Chlamydomonas reinhardtii: one gene and its partner. The protein of the gene in region 2 binds, or shares a complex with, the protein of the main gene of each other region. Links are inferred from orthologs where the notes say so. Each region holds a gene or a part of one and is shown on either strand. Other genes may lie near its edges.

Region 1 (4,480 bases), on a different chromosome or scaffold from region 2:
GTTTGCTTTCCCTTGTGCCGTGACTTCAGGCTGGCCTGGAGAGCGCGGCGGAGAGCGCTATTGTGGCTGCGGAAGCGCGCGTGGCCCAGGCGTCCGAGGCGGCTAAGGAGGCGGAGGAGCGGGCGGCCAGCGCGGCGGCGCACGCGACCGCGTACCAGGACATGTCGCAATCGCAGGTGGGCAGGGTACGGAAGGTGTCTGCATCAGAGAGTACCGATATCTGGGCCAAGCAAGCAAACGGCGCAAAGGACGCGAAACAAATTCTACGTTACACAATACACGCGCATGCATACTGCGCACTCTTGGCACTCCTGTGGGTGCCTCCAAGCTAAGCGCCTCTAACCCCATCTCTTCACACAGGCCGACATTGCCGAGCGCGCTGCATCCATCGCCAAGCGGCCGCCGCCCGGCCCGCTGGACCAGCTGCAGCGCCTGTGGCGCAGCGTCACTGGGCAGCCGGCGCACAACAGCCCGCAGCGAAGCAGCGGCAGCAACATCCCGTCCGCAGGCGCGCCGCGCCCCGGCACCGGCGGCTCGGCTCCTACAGGCGGCAGCGAGTCTGGCGGTGCCAGCGGCCCTGGCGCGGGGGGCAGCGGCGGTGGCTCGCGCAGTGCAAGCGTCGCCGCTGCGGAGAACCTAGGCAGCACCGTCAAGGGGCTGCTGTCGTGGCTTGGCCAAGGCGATGGCTCCCGTTAAGCTCGCTACACGCCACCAGCAGCTGGCTACATAAGCGCCGTGTACTATTCCAGCTAGCCTCCTTTGTAATGGGGTGCCATACCGCCGAACAAAGTCAGTACAGTAACGCCTTCTGCGATGCCTTCGCATGCGTGTGCGGACCGCCCCAAGGCGGGGCACGGCTTCTCAACGAATGCCCTTCACGCACTCAAGTCTACAACCCGATGGGCATACCGGGATCCAACGGTCTTCTATCTAATGCCTAGAAGAGTCTGACAGTAATGGTTGTGTGTCATGCTGTCATGGTCGTGTCGTCAAGTAATTTCAGTAGTAGCGTTGATTTAAAAGCCCACGGTCACGGCCTTGAGCATGGGCGCCACCTGGTCGAAGCGGATGAGCTCCTGGGTGCGCTTCACGACCGACTGGTTGTCGTCGCTGCGGGCAGAACGCGGGCGTAATACAGGGCAGGAGGGCCATGAATGGCGTGAGCTTGTAGCACTTGGGGTACAACCCCAGTTTTTAGGACAATCTGATACTAGATAAGCACGATATGTAGGTGAGTGTTGATGGAGGAGGAGAGGTTGTTTGCGGGGTGTGCATTTCCAGAGTACAGGTGCGGCAGGATTGGAGGTGGGCAGGTGGACATGGGATGTCGCGGCGCTATCATGCCATGTGGCACAGGAGGCACCAAACATGTTACCATGTTCGATCAGCTGTTTCAGCTCTGCGTGCGCCCACGGTGTGCCCGCGTGCCCCGCTTCCCGGCCCCTCATCCTAGCAATGCCAGCAGACCCCGCCCCCTCCGCAGGCCAGTCCAGAATTCTGCGCCTGTACTCACTTCTTGGGGAGCCCCACCACCTCGCCAGCGGGCGTGTTGACAATGCTCCAGCCAGCCGACTTGCACTTTTCAGACAGCTGTGGTCAGAAGCAAGCAGCCAGCAGGCGCGTTTTTACCCTGATGCTAGCTGATGAGGCGCACTGGCGAAGGGACCTTCAAGCCGGCGTCACAATCTCCCACCCCGCCGTATGCACACAGCTTAACCCTTTCGCTCACGTCCTCAAGCGACGCTCCTCAACGCCTTTCTACCCAACCCAGCCCTGCTTACTGCGCACCATTCACATGTAAACGCACACGGAGACACTGCCGCCACCACGCCCCCCCATAAGAAACTCGTAAGCGCAATGCATCACTCACGTACTGCTCCAGCGTGGCGCCCTCCAGCTTTAGGCAGTCCGCCAGCGTGCGCTTGGTCACGCGGCCGTAGGTGTGCACCAGCGTGTGCGCGATGAAGCCGCGCACCGACTCGTAGAAGCCGGGGACTGCAGCAGAGCAGCAGATAGAGCTGGTTTAATTGGCATTCGTGACGTGTGGCAATCGGGGCGCCTCTGTTGCCTCTGATTCCGCATCCGTTGCCTTTAAAAACCCCTGCGTCCTAGCTGAGTGGCTCCCACTCCAGCCAGGTCCCCGTGCGCTGCACTTACTGCCGCCCAGCAGGTCGCGGCAGGTGTTGGCCGCGTTCCAGAAGTCGCCGAAGCGGCTGGTCTCCAGCGCGTTTGCGAGCTGCACCACCTTGTACACCGACTCGTCAGACTGCAGCAATGCAGGGTTCGTGCAACGGATGGAGCAATAGTGGAACAGGAGAGGTGTGGAAACAGCCATGAAGGTGCCACAGCATTCCCCGCGTGTCTTGGGCGGCACCCCACGGTGCGGCCCCTAACCCACCCCACCCACCCCCTCCCCCAGGCCCTGACGCTTTAAACGCCATTCCACTGCACTTCGCACACCTGCAGCAGGCGCTCTGGAAGCAGCGTGATGCAGCATTTGTAGTCCTGCGCGGGCGCCTGCATGATCGCCTTGATAAGCACCTTAGCGACAATGGCAGGCTTCACGCTGGCCGGGCTGAACTGGTAGAAGCGCAGCAGCGTAACATTAGCATCCAGGCTCCATGAGCGGTTCGCGACCTGCAGCAGTGCAGGACGCTTTCAGCGCAAATTGCCGCCGCCGAGCATGTGTCGCCGTGCTGGCACCAAGGGGCCAGGGGACTAAACGGGCTGCTAAGAAATACAGATCTACCTGCTCATCAACATACGCCTCAAGCTGTGGCAGCTTGTCCGGCGAGTAACGATCAGCACCAGTCACGATAAGAGACATTTTAACTGGTATGTAAAGAAAGGAAGTGTCAACGTAAAAGAAAACCAAGACAAGTGGATGCTCACCCTGGGATGCGACGCTGCGATGGCCGATGATGGGGCTCCGAAGCGGTAGAATCCACTCTCTAGTCTGTGAAGTGCAACGATACTGCATGAGCTACGAACGTAAAGCTGTATACACGCACTGGGAAACTGATTTCTTGCATAGCGCGCGTCTCGACAGCTCGCCAAGCTCTCTCCCTGCTCCGAACACGCCGCGAACCCCACAATTATCGCGTGCTTTAGGAGAGACTGTCGCGCCTTGAGCGGCTCTGCAGGGGCCGGGCGCTCGAGCGATCAAGAGGAGCGTCGTGCGCCAGCCCCGCCCTTCGCGTCCTGTCACCTTCCACAATGCTCCTCCGGTTGCGGCAGGCGCTGCCGCTGCTGCAGACCTTCAACAGGTGGTCTGCAATAGCACCTATCCCCAGATTCCGCAGCTTCCCCGCTGCCTCGTCTGCCGCTGATAGCGACAGCGCCCTGCCAGCGGTAGACGGTGCCAGCGGCGAGCCGCCCAAGCCCAAACGCACTCGCCGGGCAACCTCCGCGGCCGCCGCCGTGCCCAGCGGCAGCAGCGATGATGTACCAGTGGCAAAGAAGCGGGCTAGCCGCAAGACCGCTGCCACTGACAGCGCGACTGAGGCAGGGCTGGACCCCTCGTCTGGGCCGAGTGAGGACGACGCCGAGGCGGCAGCGGCTGTGCCCAAGAAGCGTGCCTCGTGCCGCAAGGCGCAGGCTGCCGAGCCGGGCGAAGAGGCCGCTGCTTCAGCATCCGGAGTAGCAGAGGTTGGAGGTGATAGCGCAGCTGCAGCAAAGCCAAAAGTTACGCGCACGCGTCGCACTAAGGTAGCAGCCGAGACAGTTGCAGAGGGGGGCCCGGAAGCGGCGGCGGCTCCTGATGGGGAACTGCAGGCGCCCAAGAAGCGCGTATCCAGACGCAAAGCTGCCGTGAAATCATCATCCCAGGAGGATGGAGAGGAGGAGAGCATTACCATACGGAGTGAGTGGGTCTGCGCCCTTGCGCTTGCTCGCCATCAGGTGCTGCCAGCAGCGTTCTACTCTCCACTACTGCGAAGCCCGTTCCTGCACCCTTGTCACCCTTTCCTGCGCCCTGCGCGCCGTCCGTCCTCCTCACTCTCATCTCTCCCCAACGCCCACCCGCTGCCGGACTGCCCCGCGCCCAGGCCTGCCGTACGAGGAGTGCCTCGTGCTACCGCGCCAGGCTGAGGCGCTGCTGGTGGTGCTGGGGCTGCGGCCGCCCGCCTACACACACGAGCCCGCGCCCGAGGGCTCCTCCTCCGCTTCCACCTCCTCCTCCCGACGCGCTTCCGCGCCTGGCACGCCGCTGCGCAACGTGCTGGAGCTGGCGGAGTTTGAGGGGCGGCCCAAGCTGGACCGGTATGCGGAGCCGCTGCTGCTGGCCCAGTACCAGGGGCTGCTGGGTGACAGCCCCGACTACCTGTACGACATGTTCCTGCTGGATGCGGGTGAGAGCGCGGAGGTGTCATGGCCATGGGTGAAAGAGCGGAGGGAGGTTGCTACAGAAGCAGCTGGTTGGAAACCAGAATCAGAGTAAGGGCTGGGGTTAGCTGCAGCCGGTTTGGGGGTTGCGGGATCG
Region 2 (4,433 bases):
AACTCTTTGCCTCGTGACGGTTGGACAATGTGCATCGGCAGCCTTGTTAGACGTGAACTCATGCGCATCAGCGCTTCAGAGCCCAGCTGTGTCAGTGCGCATGTGTTGAATGTGGAGACATGTCCCGACATGTCCACGTCCGGACGCGCAACTTAGCCCTCCCACGCTTGGTTTGTGCTTACTACGTCATAACGTACACATATGAGCCTCGCACTGCTGCGTTTGGCCCCTAGTTCTGCTTGTGGGGCGCTTCCCGAAATCCGCCAGGATGGGCTCCCGAAACCCGACGGACCCCCAGGGACGAGGACCGACCCCCCAACTTTGGCGGCCCAGAACTTCCTCACCAGACGCCCCCTTGAAAAACTAAAAGCACGTGCATAATGCTCTCCTTAAGCTCTGTAATTTTGAGCATGGGGTAAGAAATTGAGCTTTCTACCCCCCCCCTGATTTAAAGGCCGTTTGAAGTGTGGGGTGTGCCTGCGCGATTCTCACCCCTCCCCCCTTGGTTTAGTTCAGGCTAATACCTACAAATCCAATACAAGCAGAAATGGCGTCGGCGCATTGCTCAAAGCCGGCGGCTTTGCCTGCAATGACAGTTGCACTGTGGGGCTGCGCAGGCTGGCGAAGGAGCCGTCAGGGGTGCCACTGGGAGGCGCAGTCCCATGTTCCCGTATTAAGCCACGCACACCGACCTCCCATACCCACCCCACGCATCGCAGTCATGAACGGAGGGCACCACACTTAACATATCTGAGCACGAGAACGCGCGAAGATGCCGTTACGCTTACATACCGACAAGGCAGAGCCTGCCGCGTAGGGAATGTGGGCTGTCTTACTTGTACGTGCGCCCATGTTCGCCCTCGCGAGGAGAGTCAACCGTCACGGACCTTGCCGCGGGTTGCACACAGCGACACCTCACAACTTGCACTCCTGCAGTCCTCCTACAATGTCTGATCGTGTACTGGTTACGTCCACCCTCTTAGAGCAACAACACTCTGCACTCGTCATGTCTGCCTATGCGCCGCTAGCTGGCGCGCTCAAAACAGCGCAAGCTGTGTGTGCTTCAACGCGGCCATACCACAAACGCCCCACCCAATCCCATCCCGCCCTTTGTCCCTCAAACTGAGCACCTAATAACTAATGCCACTGGTAGGTGTGCTCGGTAGAGCAGTTGCACCAGACAGCGCCTTCCGCCTTCAAACCACTACAGTCCCACAGCACACACTACGCGCTTCATGTTTGGCCCCTGCAAGCACAGCCTCTGCGACAGCACCCATCATAAGCGGTGCCATCCTCCTGCATCCCGTGTCTGCATCCCGTGGTCATGGGTCTGTACAGCCGAGCCCGCAGCCCCAGCAAGCGCCTGCTCTTCCGCTCGCAGGTCCTCGAGCTTACAACCCCGCCTTCTGCATGCCCTCCATCAGGAACAGCTTTTGAATGGTCTCGCCCGCCGCCACGTTGACCTGGTCGCAGTAGGTGGCGATCTGGTTGGTCACCAGGTAGTTATCCAGCATGGATGGCTCGGGAATGGGCTTGAACAGATTTGGGTCCTCCTCCGGCAGCGGCTCCTGGTTGTCAGCCTGCCGCTGCTGGTTCTCCTGCCGCCGCTTGGCCAGCCACACCGCGTACGCCTGCTGCTGGCGCGCCACGTTCTTGTGGTACATGGTCACCTTCTGCTGCTCCGCCACAATGTCGTCCACGCACTCCAGCAACGACTGGATGTTGCGCTCCAGGAAGGGGGCCGAGGACAGGTTGAGTCGCTCCACGTCCGCCTGGGTCGCGGTGGGGGCGGGCATCAGGTCCGCCACCAGCGCCTGCACCAGGTTGCTGTTGCGGATGCGGATGGGCAGCTCCACGAAGATATCACGCCACGACAGGTTGGCCTCGCGAAAGCCCTTGAGCGTCAGCTTCTGCTCCTTGCTCAGCTCAATGAACGACTCCTTGAGGCGGATCGCCTTGAGCGCGATGCTGCCGCGCGATGAGCGCTGGGGGTCATAGATGATGCACACGCACTTTTTGATGTTCTCGTGGTAGTTGATGAACGTCTCTATGAGCTCCACGGTTTGGAAGGTGCCCATGTTGGCCGACTGGTACCTGTGGGGTGCGGCCCGGCAGGTGCACGGTTCGTAGGCAAGCGCATGGTGCGCAGTCGGGTCCAGCCCTGAAGATGCTCGGCGGCTGCTACCCCGAGGTTCTGCTTGCGGTACTGTCGCGGGTGGCTGATGGCCATGTCGCCCCCAGGCCAGTCTCGAGCCCCGCCAACGGCCGAACGGGCCTCGTGTCCGCAGGCAAGGACTCTGACAGGCGGTTCATACACGGTGGTTGCCGCAGCTAGCGTGCCGCTCATGTAGTGCGCACATGCCCTTGTCCGCTGATGTCCCGGCGGCTAGCATGAGTGCTACGGTACCGTCCCGCCTTGGGGCGCTTCCCAAGGGCGCTTCCCCACGTCAACTCCCCCTCCTCTGCTTTTGCACCTGACTCCTTCCCTCTCCTTTCCCCCGCGAGCTCGCGCATTGACTGCACCCACCAGCCGACGGTGTTGTTGTCCACGTTCACCTCACGCAGGCAGCGCATCATCTCCAGCTGGTAGTTGGCGCCGGCCGACTCTGCCTCGGAGTCATCGTCCGCCACGGTAGCCTGCACACACCCGGCCCACACCATCGCCGATCTTTATTGTGCATATGCATATGCTGATACACGCGACTTTCCCCTGCTATGCGTGCTCGACAACGCGAGCAATCTGGGGGCCGCCCAAAAGTCCGCTTGGCGCCCTCAGCGCCTGCTATCCTCAGCGCTCACCGGGAACGCGAAGCAGTCCGTCACCTCCAGCTGTTGACCAACATCCAGGCCCAGCAGCTGGCCGGTAACGTTCTGGGGCAGCGCCTCAGTGCAATGCTGGATAATCTTCAGCAGCACCTGACCCTCAAGCTGCACCGTCTTCACGAGCTCCTTATGCGGCTTAGGAGCGATGGCCTCCATTTTTCAGCGCCTCTGCAATAAACCAGCGGCCTAAGTCGGCGGCGCCGTGCCTATAAGCAAAGCCTGTTTTTCAAAAGCTAAACACAAGAGTAAACGATACGACTACACGATGTCTACAGTGATCAGGGTGTGTTTGGCTGCAATGCGGGGCCCGATCGCACTTCCATTTGCAATGCAATTTCTCTCAGACCTGAAATGTCAGTTTGCTGCTGTACTTTTCGCGCTTGTACCTTCGTGCTTATGCTGAACAACAACGAGTAGCATCACCTGTGTTTCGAACTAGGATCGTCGCAACAGTCGCCAAAAGCTTGCGCGTTGACGAGGGCGGCTAGGCCTCAAAGTATACTTGGCAGTATGGCGCGCTTGCGCGCGAGCTTGCTGATGGCAGCGCTGCTCGGAAGCGCTGTAGCCCTCGTAGCATCGGAGCGAGTCTTGCTGGGCAGCGACCATAAATTCAAGCCCGGAAGTGACATCATGCTGTATGCAAACAAAGTCGGACCCTTTCAAAACCCGACGTGAGTAGTTTTGCTGCAGCCAGCGGTGCCAGCTCGCGCGCCAACGCGGCGCGATTTTCGCTCCTTGCCTTGCAGGGAAACGTACCAGTATTACAACTTGCCGTTCTGCCAGCCCACTGACGGCAAGGAGTATAAGACGGAATTCCTAGGCGAGGTGCTTGAGGGCGACCGGTTGGTGACAACTCCCTACAAGCTGCAGTTCCGCACCGATGTTGAGAACGCGGTGCTCTGCAAACGCACGCTCACTGCTGGTGACTTAAAGAAGTTCAGGGATGCCGTGAAGCAGGACTACTACTTCCAGGTGCGGCGGGTTGACACGACTGGGACCAGCGGGTGTGCGGGCGCGTGTACCCCAGGACGTGTCCGTCCCGGCCCGGTGCACGCTGCCAGCAACTCCCGGCCTGTACTCGTCGCTGACACCCCATGCGCCGGTCAACACCTCTATTGCGTGTTTGCCCTCATTCGCAGTTTGCCCGCATGTTGGGTTACCGTGTGCATGTTGGGCCTTGCCACCCTGCACACCTGCCCCGCAACCTGTCGCACATACCAGAAGAGGATAGTTCCTGGTGCGCGCCAAAGCACAACAGCGGCTTGACCCGTCATATGCCCCGTCTACCCCAAGAAGTTGCCTTTAGGTTCTCTTTGCGTGCTCCTGTGCGTGCTCCTGTGCGTGCTCCTGTTGAGCGTCGCTTAGGTACTTATCTCTGACCCCGCGGCTCTGACCCCAGATGTTTTACGACGACCTGCCTGTGTGGGGCTTCATCGGCAAGGTGGAGAAGATTGTGCAGCAGGGTACGCACAAGTACTTCCTCTTTACCCACTTCCACTTCGACCTGTCCTACAACGACGACCGTATCATCGAGATCAACGTGTCCAGCGACCCCATGCGCACAGTGGACATCACGACCGCAGACACGCTGGACGTGCAGTTCTCCTATT

What was found.
Region 1: CHLRE_16g676314v5 (region 2) and CHLRE_12g515650v5 share a complex: the UniProt entries of both Arabidopsis thaliana proteins name them as parts of the eukaryotic translation initiation factor 3 (eIF-3) complex. The link is inferred for Chlamydomonas reinhardtii from reciprocal best matches to the Arabidopsis thaliana genes TIF3H1 and EIF3K.

The regions. Positions count from the first base shown.
Region 1 is NC_057015.1:3,875,188-3,879,667, forward strand, and holds CHLRE_12g515650v5 (uncharacterized protein), read right to left. Parts: upstream 2,856-4,480; 5' UTR 2,828-2,855; coding exon 2,750-2,827; intron 2,638-2,749; coding exon 2,461-2,637; intron 2,267-2,460; coding exon 2,158-2,266; intron 1,996-2,157; coding exon 1,871-1,995; intron 1,591-1,870; coding exon 1,514-1,590; intron 1,111-1,513; coding exon 1,017-1,110; 3' UTR 361-1,016; downstream 1-360. Other genes in the region: CHLRE_12g515600v5 (uncharacterized protein), read left to right, coding at 30-176, 249-332; CHLRE_12g515700v5 (uncharacterized protein), read left to right, coding at 3,217-3,862, 4,047-4,349. UniProt on the Arabidopsis thaliana protein: Component of the eukaryotic translation initiation factor 3 (eIF-3) complex, which is involved in protein synthesis of a specialized repertoire of mRNAs and, together with other initiation factors, stimulates binding of mRNA and methionyl-tRNAi to the 40S ribosome.
Region 2 is NC_057019.1:3,507,457-3,511,889, reverse strand, and holds CHLRE_16g676314v5 (uncharacterized protein), read right to left. Parts: upstream 3,076-4,433; 5' UTR 2,980-3,075; coding exon 2,800-2,979; intron 2,638-2,799; coding exon 2,528-2,637; intron 2,095-2,527; coding exon 1,392-2,094; 3' UTR 773-1,391; downstream 1-772. Other genes in the region: CHLRE_16g675958v5 (uncharacterized protein), read left to right, coding at 3,454-3,494, 3,570-3,795, 4,223-4,433. UniProt on the Arabidopsis thaliana protein: Component of the eukaryotic translation initiation factor 3 (eIF-3) complex, which is involved in protein synthesis of a specialized repertoire of mRNAs and, together with other initiation factors, stimulates binding of mRNA and methionyl-tRNAi to the 40S ribosome.